Linked DNA regions of Saccharomyces cerevisiae S288C. Changing the gene in region 4 together with the main gene of any one other region gives a genetic interaction. Each region holds a gene or a part of one and is shown on either strand. Other genes may lie near its edges. The genes, in order: COX23, WHI2, PMP3 and YKR041W.

Region 1 (2,954 bases), on a different chromosome or scaffold from region 4:
GGCCCTGCACCAGAAGTACCACCACCAAGAAGGAGTACACTACCTGTTAGGACGATGGAGGCCATATATGCCTACGAAGCACAGGGAGATGATGAGATTTCAATTGATCCGGGGGACATAATTACTGTTATCAGAGGCGATGACGGTAGCGGGTGGACATATGGTGAATGTGACGGATTGAAAGGTCTATTTCCTACAAGTTACTGTAAATGAACGAAGGAATGAACTGAAACTATTAAATATTTTCCCTGGCCGCCACTTTTTTGAGAGGTATGACGACTCTATGTTATATATATATATATATATATATATATATATAGCACAAAATTTCATGTGATCAATCTACTAGGCGAACACCTAAATTGTTATTTATTTCCATGTCTATATCCATTTCAATGTCTGGCTCATCTTCGTCCTCGTTTTCGAATTCGGATTCAGATTCGGATTCCAAGGTAGTCTCCAAATCACAGTTTGTCCTACAGTTCGGACACATGAATTGAGGATAATTCATAATAACCAATCTTCTTACACAATGAAAATGCCAACTATGGGCACATGGTGATATAAAAATGGCTTGGCAAGGTTTTATTTTGTTTAGACAAATGGAACAGTCTTCTTGTTCTAAACCAGTAGTTAGTTTCTGTAGATTTTTTATTCGGCTCAAGGCTTCTTTATTAAATGCATTGGCCTTTAATTTCCAAGACTTGTTCAATTCTATTTTCATCTTAACACAACGATATATCTCTTCCGTCCCGCCGCGAAAGTCCATACCCAGCTGTATGATATCTCCGTCATGTAAAAGGTAGTCCTTAGAAGTGGTAGACGCAGAAGATAGACGCTGGTGGTTCAAAAAGGTCCCACTGGAAGACTTGACATCTTTCAAAAACCAGTTTCCTTGGTCATCAACTTTGAAACACCCATGGGTCCTGGATATCACTTTTGATTTGAACACTACGGGATGATACTGATCTGGAATTTTGGAAATTGCCTCTCTTACTCTTTCGGTGTATCTTCCGATGATAATTTGCGAGCCTGCGCCCGCAGTCCTGATAATGGGGTCAAAGAAAAGACCCTGGTTAGCCACAGACGTGGATGAAGTATCTATAAACGGGGTTAGCCTAATGCTGAAAAGCCCGTGCTTGTCCATTCTGCGTTTCAAAGTAGATTGGTCTATCCGTTCCGGTAGCGAGGTATTTGGTGGGAGATGTATATCAAGTGAAAACTCCGTCTGATTGACTTGGTTTGGAGGATATATGAAATGGCGGATACTCTTTGTAGTGTTCACCGCGGGGGCTGTATTCGTCTCCACAGTGGCAGCAGCAGCAGCAGTAGCACCAACATTGCCGTTTGCGCTACCGTTATTTGCAACGACTAAAGAAGTAGCCGTACGCGAGGGCAAAATACCTAAACCATTGCTAACGCTATTATTATTGCTGTTATTGTTAGGCGTATCGTTAATGGTGAGAGAGATGGATATCGGTAGTCTGATGGGATTGTTGAACTTGGTGTGATCGTGAGAGGTAGCGATGCCAGAAGCAGCAGGTGGCGTCTGGTTTGGGGGAGATGAGGGAACAGTATTAGTAGACATCCAGGAATAACCACTATACAGAACGTATGTGCACAGGAAATCGACACTGTAAGAAGAAAAGCTCACGGCACAAGAGTCAGAAACAGGGCAGTGAACAAAGAACGAGAAGTACGGTTTACAGTTGAGCCGTACACCGAGTTCCTCTTTGAATAATATCGAACCTATACACTAATGCACTAATGTGTTTCTGTTCACACCCAGAATTCTAAGGCTCCTGCTGATCCCAATGCTAAGGTTTATCAATTTTCTCATTCTCTTTGTGGGCCGTAAACAGTGATATTCTCTCACGAGAGCGCTTAAAGAGAATGGAGAAGCCCAGCCCCACCAGGCGGCAAACTAGTAGTCTCTCCACTATCTCCAACGGTATGACCATGACCAACGATAATAGGGATACCACAAATACCAACAGTGGCTCTACAAGCAGCAACAATTCACAACCATCTTCGTCTTCCACGCCACCAGCGGCCAGTGGACCCGTAACGGACAGAACCAAAGTCAACTATGTACCAAAGAGCGACGATCCGTCGTCATTTCAATACTACCCAGACGACCCGGAGAACCCGGTCAATAAGTATAAATTCGCGTTAAAGGCTGACAGTCAGTACTATGATCCTTGTGAGGAGTCCTCCAAGCTCAGTTTTCAGTGCCTCGAGCGCAACGATTACGACCGATCCAAGTGCCAAGAATATTTTGACGCATACCGCGAATGCAAGAAACAATGGCTGACAGCCAGGAGGAAAAACAGACAGCAGTGGGAATGAGGCAGCCTTTTCTTCTTGTTTGTTCAGCTGTGATCTGTTTTCTATATAGATCGCCACTACGCGACGTAGTGTTCCGACAGGCAGCCACAGCACACTCTAGTGCAATGTGAAAAACTAATTCGCAATGGTATGTAAATAAGCAAGCTAAATTGGATTTTCAAAGTGCGAATAAAGAATTTTTTGTATATATCTCTACATACTTGTATATACCGAACATAAGAAGCTCTTATGGCCGAAAACTCCCTCCTGAGGTTTATCACCAAGAACAAAGTGGCCATCCTAGCAACGGTCTCTGCGGGGACTGCTGCTGTGGGTGCTTATGTTTACTACCAGCAAATTAAGCAGCAGCAACAGCAGCAATTGAAGGGTACAAAAGACAACCGACGTCAAAGTGAGGCCTTTGCTGGTCAAAATGAAGACGAGGCGGACTTAAAGGACGACGGCAGCGTCGTAAGTGGAAGTAATAAGAGGAAGAAGAAGAAGAATAAACGCAAGAGGAACAATAAGGCAAAATCGGGAGAAGGGTTTGACTATCCCTCCTTGCCCAATGGCGAGCCTGATATTGCCCAATTGAAAGGCCTATCACCCTCCCAGAGACAAGCGTA
Region 2 (3,913 bases), on a different chromosome or scaffold from region 4:
TGCATGAACAGCGCAGAAGACGTCATAATCCGAACGAAAGGGAGCAACATCACGAAGACAGTGAGGAAGAAGATTCGTGGTCGCAATTTGTAGAAAAGGACCTGCCAGAGCTTACGGACAGAGCCGGTCGGTCATTACAGGACACAGCAAACAAAGTTAGTAACTGGATAAGTGATGCTTACCGGAGAAACTTTGCGTCAGGTAATGAGCAAAACGACAACCAACATGGTCACCAAGATCAGCAAGAATGGGAGCCAGAGATTGTGGATTTGTCACAAGGCGGGAAAAATTCAAGACCCCAGCAACCTGAGAGAAGAAGATTCAATTCGTTTGGCGTTCAAGTCGGTGATGACTCTTTAGAAAGCCACGGAATCACACTACACAACGAAGATGGATTTGAAGATGATGAAGATGTGCCACCTCAGTTACCAACGAGAACAAAATCTGGTGAGTCGACTGGAAAAGTAGTGGCAGAGACAACCTACATTGATACTCCAGATACAGAAACGAAGAAGAAATGGCAGCCGCTACCACCGGAACCCCTGGATACTACACCAACTAAAGTAAACGCTGTTTCTAGAAATAAGAAAAATCCGGATGAGGATGAATTCTTAATCAATAGTGACGACGAGATGTAAAGCTGATATCTACGTACATGTGTATACGTGCCAATATTTGGACGCATCTTATTTTACGCGCTTGTGAAGAACTCACTACCTTCTTGAAGGAAGTAAGAAAAAATTTTCAGAATTGTTGATAGTCGTATATCTTCCATTATAACTATTGTTAGCTATTAATTCAGATAATGTAGATAAGATTGAAAACATAAATTCATCATAAAAAAGAATAGGTCTTTTACGGCACCCGTTCAGACACTTTGACACTTCAAAGTATATGCATCAGCACACTTCTGACCATTCTACGTATTGTAACAGCAACATGAGTTCTTTAAAACTCCAATTGACATTTTCGTAATGTGTTTTGCATATCATCTAAATTTCAATGACAGATTTAAAAAGTCAAGTAATTAAAAATTTTCATAAGCGTGCTTTTTTATAGTGCGAAGAACGGCAAAGGCAACCTTAAGAAAAAAAAATGATAGGTTACGTGCTATATCCGGAAAATAAAGAAAGATGAGTAAGAGTTAAAGAAAGAATTCAACCAACCTGATGGGTGTATGAAAATCCCGATTTTATATCGACAGCGCTAGCATGCATGAACAGTGTTTTGACGGTCAAGAAAAAACATAACCTCTGCATAATGTACTTACTTATCAAAACGTTGCAAATCTTGTATGTAAGAGGTGTTTGGGTGTTTTTTCCAAACGACCCGAAGGAGGGCAATTCAAAATAAAAAAAGCAAATTTTATCAGGAAGAGAAGATTTTAGTCAGAACGGGCCATGTTCAATGGCCAATTTCTTATGCTCTAGAGTAATAATTACTAAGGAGGAAAGTAAGACAAAAAACGGTCTATCGTTGTTTTAAGTTTACAGCATAGGCATAGTGATAGAGTGTGAGAGAGTCTCTAACTCGGCGTCAGTTTAGAGTCATTTTTTTCTTTTCTCCCCCCAAAGGTCATAAGAAGATAAGGATCCAAATTTAGAAGACAAAAAAAGTTTTGTTAGAACGTTTATCCCATTAAAAATAAGGGAAAAGAGAAACAACGTTATTTAGTGATTTTTTTAATTGAGAAGCATTTTCTCCAGTGATAATTTAATTGTTTTTTTATTCGGAAAAGAACAGAAAGCGCAAGAAGACAACTCCTTCACACTTAGGCTATTAATTTTCCCGCCTCCCCATTAATTGATAAAGATAAAGGTTGTCTGAGCTTACACTTATTATAAACAATGGACGATATAATCACGCAAGTTTCTCCAGATAATGCAGAGTCCGCTCCGATTCTACAAGAACAGCAACAGCAACAGAACTCACAGTACGAAGGTAACGAGGAGGATTATGGTGATTCATTGATTCATTTGAATATTCAAGAAAACCATTATTTCATTACGAGGGACCAGTTGATGTCTCTACCTGAATCCCTATTACTGTGTTTATTTCCCTCAGGTGTTTTTTTGGACCGTTGTGGTCAGGTCATTACTAATTTGACCAGAGACGATGAGGTCTACATTGTTAATTTCCCTCCTGATTGTTTTGAGTACATCATGGAGATATATACAAAAGCGCATGATGATTTGTATAATCATCCTGTGGAGAAATTTTTTGACAGACCATCAAGTAGCTTTGTTTCGAATGCAAAGGGATTTTTTGGACTGAGTAGCAATAATTCAATTTCGAGCAACAATGAGCAGGATATTTTACATCAAAAGCCCGCTATTATTGTTTTGAGAGAAGACTTGGATTATTATTGTGTACCTCAGGAGGAATTTCAGTTTGATTCCACTAATGAAGAAAATAATGAGGATTTATTGCGACATTTTATGGCTCAAGTGAAAATGGCTGCTGGCAGTTATTTAACTTCAAAAACATCGATTTTCCAAGGTTTGTATTCTTCGAATAGACTAAAGCAACAACAGCAACAACAGAAAATTGAAAAGGGGTCCAATTCTTCTTCAAATACTAAATCTACTTCGAAAAAATTGGGACCTGCTGAACAACATTTAATGGATATGTTGTGCTCCTCCGGATTCACCAAGGAAACTTGTTGGGGTAACAGAACTCAAGAAACTGGCAAAACGGTTATAAGTTCACTGTCTCTTTGCCGATTGGCTAACGAGACAACTGAAGGATTTAGGCAAAAATTTAACGAGGCTAAGGCTAAGTGGGAGGCAGAGCACAAACCTTCTCAAGACAACTTCATCACCCCAATGCAATCTAACATATCGATTAACTCTTTATCTGCAAGTAAATCTAACAGTACCATTTCTACAGCAAGGAATTTAACAAGCGGAAGTACAGCACCTGCTACAGCACGTGATAAGAGAAAATCAAGGCTGTCGAAACTAGCAGATAACGTTCGTTCGCACTCTTCCTCGAGACATAGTTCGCAGACCAGAAGTAAACCTCCGGAGTTGCCCAAATTGTATGATCTAGTGCCAAAACCTAATATCAACGCTAAGCTACTATTATTTTGGAGAAAACCTGCTCGTAAATGTTGGTGGGGTGAAGAAGACATAGAGCTAGAAGTGGAAGTCTTCGGCTCTTGGAAAGATGAATCAAAGAAAATCATTGAATTGATCTTGCCAACAAACGTTGATCCTGAAGCAGAACTACATAAAATCATTGTACCCGTCCGATTACATATTCGTAGAGTTTGGACTTTAGAGTTGAGCGTTATTGGGGTGCAGTGAGTGTATATAATATATTAGAGAAAGAAATGGAAAGAGATCGGGCCAAAGACACAATATGTAACAGTATGGTTTCTTGGTATCCCCTCTTTCTATTCCTCCCTTGTTACGAAATGATGTATATTTGTATCTCTATAACAAAATTATATGAACTGTCTCAAAGCACATGAAGAAGGAAAAAAGGTGGCGTCGAAGACTGCTAGATATTTCTCTTCGTATCTTCCCATCCCCTTCTGCAAATAACGGTTTTTCCATTGTCTATTTCAAAGTTACCCGCATAATAAAGTCGTACATTGTTCGAAAAATATCACTCAAAAGCAGCATTGATCCGGTATAAAACAATAGAAATTTTTTTTTTTTTTTATTGTTATAATTATTCTGACTCACGTCTGGATTTCGTTAGTTCGTCATTTTTTCTTAATTTCAGTAAACTGTGATCACGAGTCTGCAACATCATTATACACCGTATATCTGTATTATTAAGAATCAGGGTCTCCTTTTAATTTGCTGTTGAAAAACATCTTAAGGGAGTGTGATTGTCTGTTGATGTATACTAGTCTGGTAAAGCTAAATATTCTTATAAAAAACTTTTGGTAACCCATTATTAC
Region 3 (2,300 bases), on a different chromosome or scaffold from region 4:
AAGGCAACGCAACGCCACTGCTAAGAACACTTATTGCTACAGAAAGGAAACTAAAAATAATTATAAGGCTAGAGAGAAATAAAAACAAAATAAGAGAGATAATATGGGTAAGGGTCTGCCACCCATCTGATAAAAGGCTGTTCTATCTTTTGGAACTCTACAACACAGGTAAACGGATGATACTGGCTATATTTATATAGATAAACAAACTTGCAGGACAGATAGTTAAGCGTCTATATCATGTGTATTTTAAGCGAAGAAAAAAGTACAAAAATGATAAAAGGCAAAAAAGATGAGAAGTTTTTTTTGTGATAAAATTAATTATTAAAAAATACACACGTAGTTAAAATTAACAGCGGGGGAGGAAACCTTAAGAGAAAGAGAAACAAAAAAAAAGAAAGGAAACAAATAAAAATGAGGGTGACCCGAACATGTTGATACCGTTTCCTAATACTGCTTCCTTATTTCATTTGATAGTTACTTTCGTTTATTGAATGAGCTTAATCTTGTAGGACAATGTACAAGGCATATAGCATACCTGGGAACCAAGCCAAAATGGTCAAAATGATATCCACTATACAGTCAGTACCCCACCCACGGGCTAGAAAAACGGCGACTGGTGGTAAGAAAAGGGATAATATAATGTTAATGATCTTGGCAGAATCCATTGTTGTATTGTGCTGTGCTGTTTAGTTCAAAATGTATAATCAATTGTATTATACTGGCGAAAAACAACAACCGATAGTAAATTTTCTTCTTTTTTTCCTTTCCCTCTTCCAAAACAAAAACACTCACTTCCTCTTTTGTATTTATAGAGGCGCCCATCGCAAAATAACCAGGACCCCCTTTTGAGGGCGTGGTTAAAGGGCACCCAGAGCCCACACCCATTGCATCTTCCGCTATTAGGGGACTGCGGAAGTGAGGGGAGCAGTAAATAGTGATCTTTGTAATTTTCTGCAAAATCCCTCTCGCTGTCTCGGGTTTTTCGATTCAGAGGACCTTCCCCCCCCCATGTTCCGAGATCGGTTTTGGTGGTTAGAAGGCCGGAGGAAAGACATTTACCGCTTGCGCGCGGCTTCTTCTGTATGCTGTGCTCAACTACCAAGAGAAGGATTACGCGCACGGATACGTTGGATGTCTGCGATTGGTGATGCTAAGAACTAAAGGTATTTCGTCATCGTATGGTTTGATCTTCGCTACCCTTGACTCTTTACTGCGATAACGGTACCACGTTCCCATAAAATTCTTATTACTAAATCTCTATAAAGCTGCAACAGCTAGTTTGTATATATAAATCATTGGCGCTTCTTCCTCAATTCCTTGGGAATTTGGAGCTCCTCTATTAAAACTGATGTCCATGGGATAGTATTGATACAATCGAAGAGTCTCCAAAAAAACCATCGGGAAGGTTTCTTTTTAGTATCTTCAGGATACTGAATCCGGCTGCCAATCCAATCCTAATCTTTGGTAAACTTGTGCCTGACATTGCGACCATATCGTAGCCTTTTCTTCTTTAGATAAGCTGACTTTGTTTTTTCCCTGTTGATTTGTTGCGGCGCTTGATCTCATCATCAATTCATCAAGGTTATTATTGGGGTTTTTCAACTGAATGTTCTTCAATAAAGCCTTTTTCAGAAGCGATTTTGTTTCTGTGCTGTTTTTCCGCGGTATTATGCTTGGTGGGGGCATGTCCGGTCTTTTTAAGTTGGACTGTTGTAACTTCCATTTCTTATATTCGGAGCATCTTTGTTTGAAATCAAACCTGCATTGTGCCTCTACTGCTATATTTAAGAGGTAATTTTCGATGATATTTCTCCATTCCGGTTTCGACAAATTCATGACGGCTTCATTTCTACCAGTTATATGCTCATGTCTTTTTCTAGCGGTCGCTACTGTATATTTGGCGCTGGTTAGTTTGAATTCATAATCTAAGTTAGCCTCCATGTACAGATCCGAATGGACTAACGTTGCGATTATGGTCTCATCGCTAGAATATAGTGGTAATAATTGTAACCTAAACTGGGGCATATTATCACCCACCGTTATTACTTCCGGTAGTTGATTACCCCATTCGGGCCTTAACTTCTCGACTATCAATAACGATCTTATATCGTTTAAATCCCAATCCAATAACTCTCTCTTGGTAAACTTGGGACGCCCGTTACAGAGAATGTTGGATGGGTCTGCTAATAGAATATCTGGCGAATACATGTCATAAAACGTTTTGGGTAATGCTTCATCCAGGCTCACTCTCGTGATTAACTTGTGGTTAGGAAATTCGGAGAACGAAGAGTCATTAG
Region 4 (2,894 bases):
TCCTACTGGGGGTTATTTATGGTTATTATTATGTTCATTGCCCAATTCTACGTTGCTGTATTCCCCGTGGGAGATTCTCCAAGTGCGGAAGGTTTCTTCGAAGCTTATCTATCCTTCCCACTTGTTATGGTTATGTACATCGGACACAAGATCTATAAGAGGAATTGGAAGCTTTTCATCCCAGCAGAAAAGATGGACATTGATACGGGTAGAAGAGAAGTCGATTTAGATTTGTTGAAACAAGAAATTGCAGAAGAAAAGGCAATTATGGCCACAAAGCCAAGATGGTATAGAATCTGGAATTTCTGGTGTTAATGAATCGAACAACGACAAAAAAAGACTTTATTTTTTAGATAATCATAATAAATATATTTATTTTCTCGTCATTAATCTAAAGAAAAAAGGGAAATGTTTATAGTCAAAAATTGTATATTTCCGTGCACTAATAAGATAAATTATACTATGAAAGAAAGTAAGGTATTTCTATTTTTTTACTTTTTGTTATTTTATTTATGTTTTTCTAGGAAATGTAAAAATAAATCTTTTAGTAGACAGCGAGATGAAAACTAATCTGTGTGAGCTTCAATCAATCAATATGATTTCCCCGCATTTTGTTTGATATTTTAATTGATTCCGATTAAATCCGCTGGTAGCAGTTTTGTTTCAAACTAATTCAGCCTCCTTACTCCCCATTTCCTTATTGAACTTTGGGGATTCGGAGTTCCTTTTTTTTTCCGCCACTCCGATAACTAAACTTTGCAGTTTCACTGCTTGTTAAACATTTTCCTACTATAAATGACATTTAAAACGTAATTGAGACAAAAAAAGTTAAATCGTTATTAACTTTCACTGCGGCTCCGCTCTTTTCCTCATAAGGAAATCCCCTCTTATGATCTTGAGAAATGGGGGAATGTTGAGATAATTGTTGGGATTCCATTGTTGATAAAGGCTATAATATTAGGTATACAGAATATACTAGAAGTTCTCCTCAAGGATATAGGAATCCTCAAAATGGAATCTATATTTCTACATACTAATATTACGATTATTCCTCATTCCGTTTTATATGTTTCATTATCCTATTACATTATCAATCCTTGCACTTCAGCTTCCTCTAACTTCGATGACAGCTTCTCATAACTTATGTCATCATCTTAACACCGTATATGATAATATATTGATAATATAACTATTAGTTGATAGACGATAGTGGATTTTTATTCCAACAGATCTTGATATAAGCCCTGTCATTGATTGCAAATGCACAAATTCCGGAGATTGAACAGCCAACACAAAGATAGTATTTGGGACTTAGCGGGTTGAGAACGGTAATTATATCATGAATACTCCACTCCAAGCTTGTTTGATACATCACATTCTTGTAAAAATATATGATCCAATTCCTAGGACATCAGAAAATATATCTACTATGGGCGTGTGGCGTAGTCGGTAGCGCGCTCCCTTAGCATGGGAGAGGTCTCCGGTTCGATTCCGGACTCGTCCATTTTAAAATTTCTTTTTTTTTTTTTCTCTTTCCGTATGTAAGCTTTTTTCCTTTTTTTTTTTTTTTTTTTTTTTTTTTTCTTCACTACTTTTCAATGAAACTCTCTTCAAAAGACAGCATGCAGTAAAAGCGCCGATATGAGTGACGACGATTATATGAACAGCGATGACGACAACGACGCCGAAAAAAGATACGTAAGGCCAATTTTCGTCAGAAAGCGCAGGAGAGAAGAAGACTACGTTGCAACTAGCAAAGACAACATCCACCACCACCCATGCGATTGGTCCGCGAAACCATCGCAACGTCAAAACGAAAATGAGCAAAAAAGCACCATACGGCTTGTACCAGTGGCGATGAATACGCCGAAGTGTCAAGAGAAAAAAAAGAAAAGAAAGGGCGTTGGTACAACTAGTCATGAGGCTACGCTTTTCGAGTACGGTGAAAGCATAGCAGGCTACAAGTGTGTTACAACCGAGAGCGAAAGAGACCGCTTGAAACGAAGTCATGAAAGCGAAAGCAGCAGTGAAAGCGAGGTAGACGTTTTCGCCTTTGACCAGGCAAAAGGTATCAGCTCTAAGGTTGAAGCCGAAGAACGCTACGCGCGGGCCGTTCGACAGTATTGGCGCATGACCAAAGACGAGCCGGCTACCTTACCACTGCCAGGCACACCTACCCTAGCGGCTGTGAGTTTAGATATGATTGATGACAAAAGCGTAGAACAATTTTACACAATGAGCAGTGCCTTGATGGATGCAAACAGACTAGACTTGATTCGCCGCGATAGAATCCGGTGGCACCCGGACAAACATCGTTATCATAAGTCCAAAGTCACAAAACTGTTTCAGGCCATTAACGGCCTGTGGGAGCAAGAAAAGACCGAGAAAAGGTAATGAAAAAGTGGAACTAGACCCCACGTCAGCGGGCCTAGGCCCTTCAATGTGTTAGAATACACAGCGTGCCTAGTTCCTGGTGCCTGGATCTCGAGGCCGCGGCACTGGAAAAGCCCTTTCTTTTCCAGATCGGGAAACCTAATGAGTCCATAAAAAGAAATGTAGAGGTGGTGTTGACGTTTTGCCGCTTTTGGGCAAGTAGGTCTTTCTGCACGGCCCGGCCCGGGTCGTGCGGAAAAAGAAAAAAGCAGACAAAACAAAATTTTTCCTTTTTTTCGCCTTTGTTTCTCCTGATTCGGGTATATAAGTGAATACCATCTAATGTGTTTCCTTCTCGAGACCTCGGCGTCTCCCAGATCAAAGCTCAGCAAAGATTTTAAACCGCAATTTACGCTCCTTTCATCGGTAACTAAGAAGAAAAAAAAAAAAGTACGACCACACAATTTCCAGTGTATTCATTCCTTAAACTTCGTTTATTTTTTATTCATTCATTCATTTTT

The links.
Region 1: mutations in YKR041W (region 4) and COX23 together harm fitness more than expected from each alone (negative genetic interaction), as found in Saccharomyces cerevisiae (2 studies listed by BioGRID).
Region 2: mutations in YKR041W (region 4) and WHI2 together harm fitness more than expected from each alone (negative genetic interaction), as found in Saccharomyces cerevisiae (2 studies listed by BioGRID).
Region 3: mutations in YKR041W (region 4) and PMP3 together harm fitness more than expected from each alone (negative genetic interaction), as found in Saccharomyces cerevisiae (2 studies listed by BioGRID).

The regions. Positions count from the first base shown.
Region 1 is NC_001140.6:339,772-342,725, forward strand, and holds COX23 (Cox23p), read left to right. Parts: upstream 1-1,893; coding exon 1,894-2,349; downstream 2,350-2,954. Other genes in the region: BZZ1 (Bzz1p), read left to right, coding at 1-213; ubiquitin-conjugating protein DMA1, read right to left, coding at 338-1,588; protein channel TOM71, read left to right, coding at 2,578-2,954. UniProt on the Saccharomyces cerevisiae protein: Required for the assembly of cytochrome c oxidase.
Region 2 is NC_001147.6:409,023-412,935, forward strand, and holds WHI2 (Whi2p), read left to right. Parts: upstream 1-1,847; coding exon 1,848-3,308; downstream 3,309-3,913. Other genes in the region: ubiquitin-binding protein CUE5, read left to right, coding at 1-638. UniProt on the Saccharomyces cerevisiae protein: Plays a role in the coordination of growth and proliferation. Required for entry into G0 phase under conditions of carbon limitation.
Region 3 is NC_001136.10:1,012,976-1,015,275, forward strand, and holds PMP3 (Pmp3p), read right to left. Parts: upstream 669-2,300; coding exon 501-668; downstream 1-500. Other genes in the region: MTH1 (Mth1p), read right to left, coding at 1,426-2,300. UniProt on the Saccharomyces cerevisiae protein: Plays a role in the regulation of membrane potential. Could mediate a proton leak.
Region 4 is NC_001143.9:516,557-519,450, forward strand, and holds YKR041W (uncharacterized protein), read left to right. Parts: upstream 1-1,641; coding exon 1,642-2,394; downstream 2,395-2,894. Other genes in the region: amino acid permease GAP1, read left to right, coding at 1-315.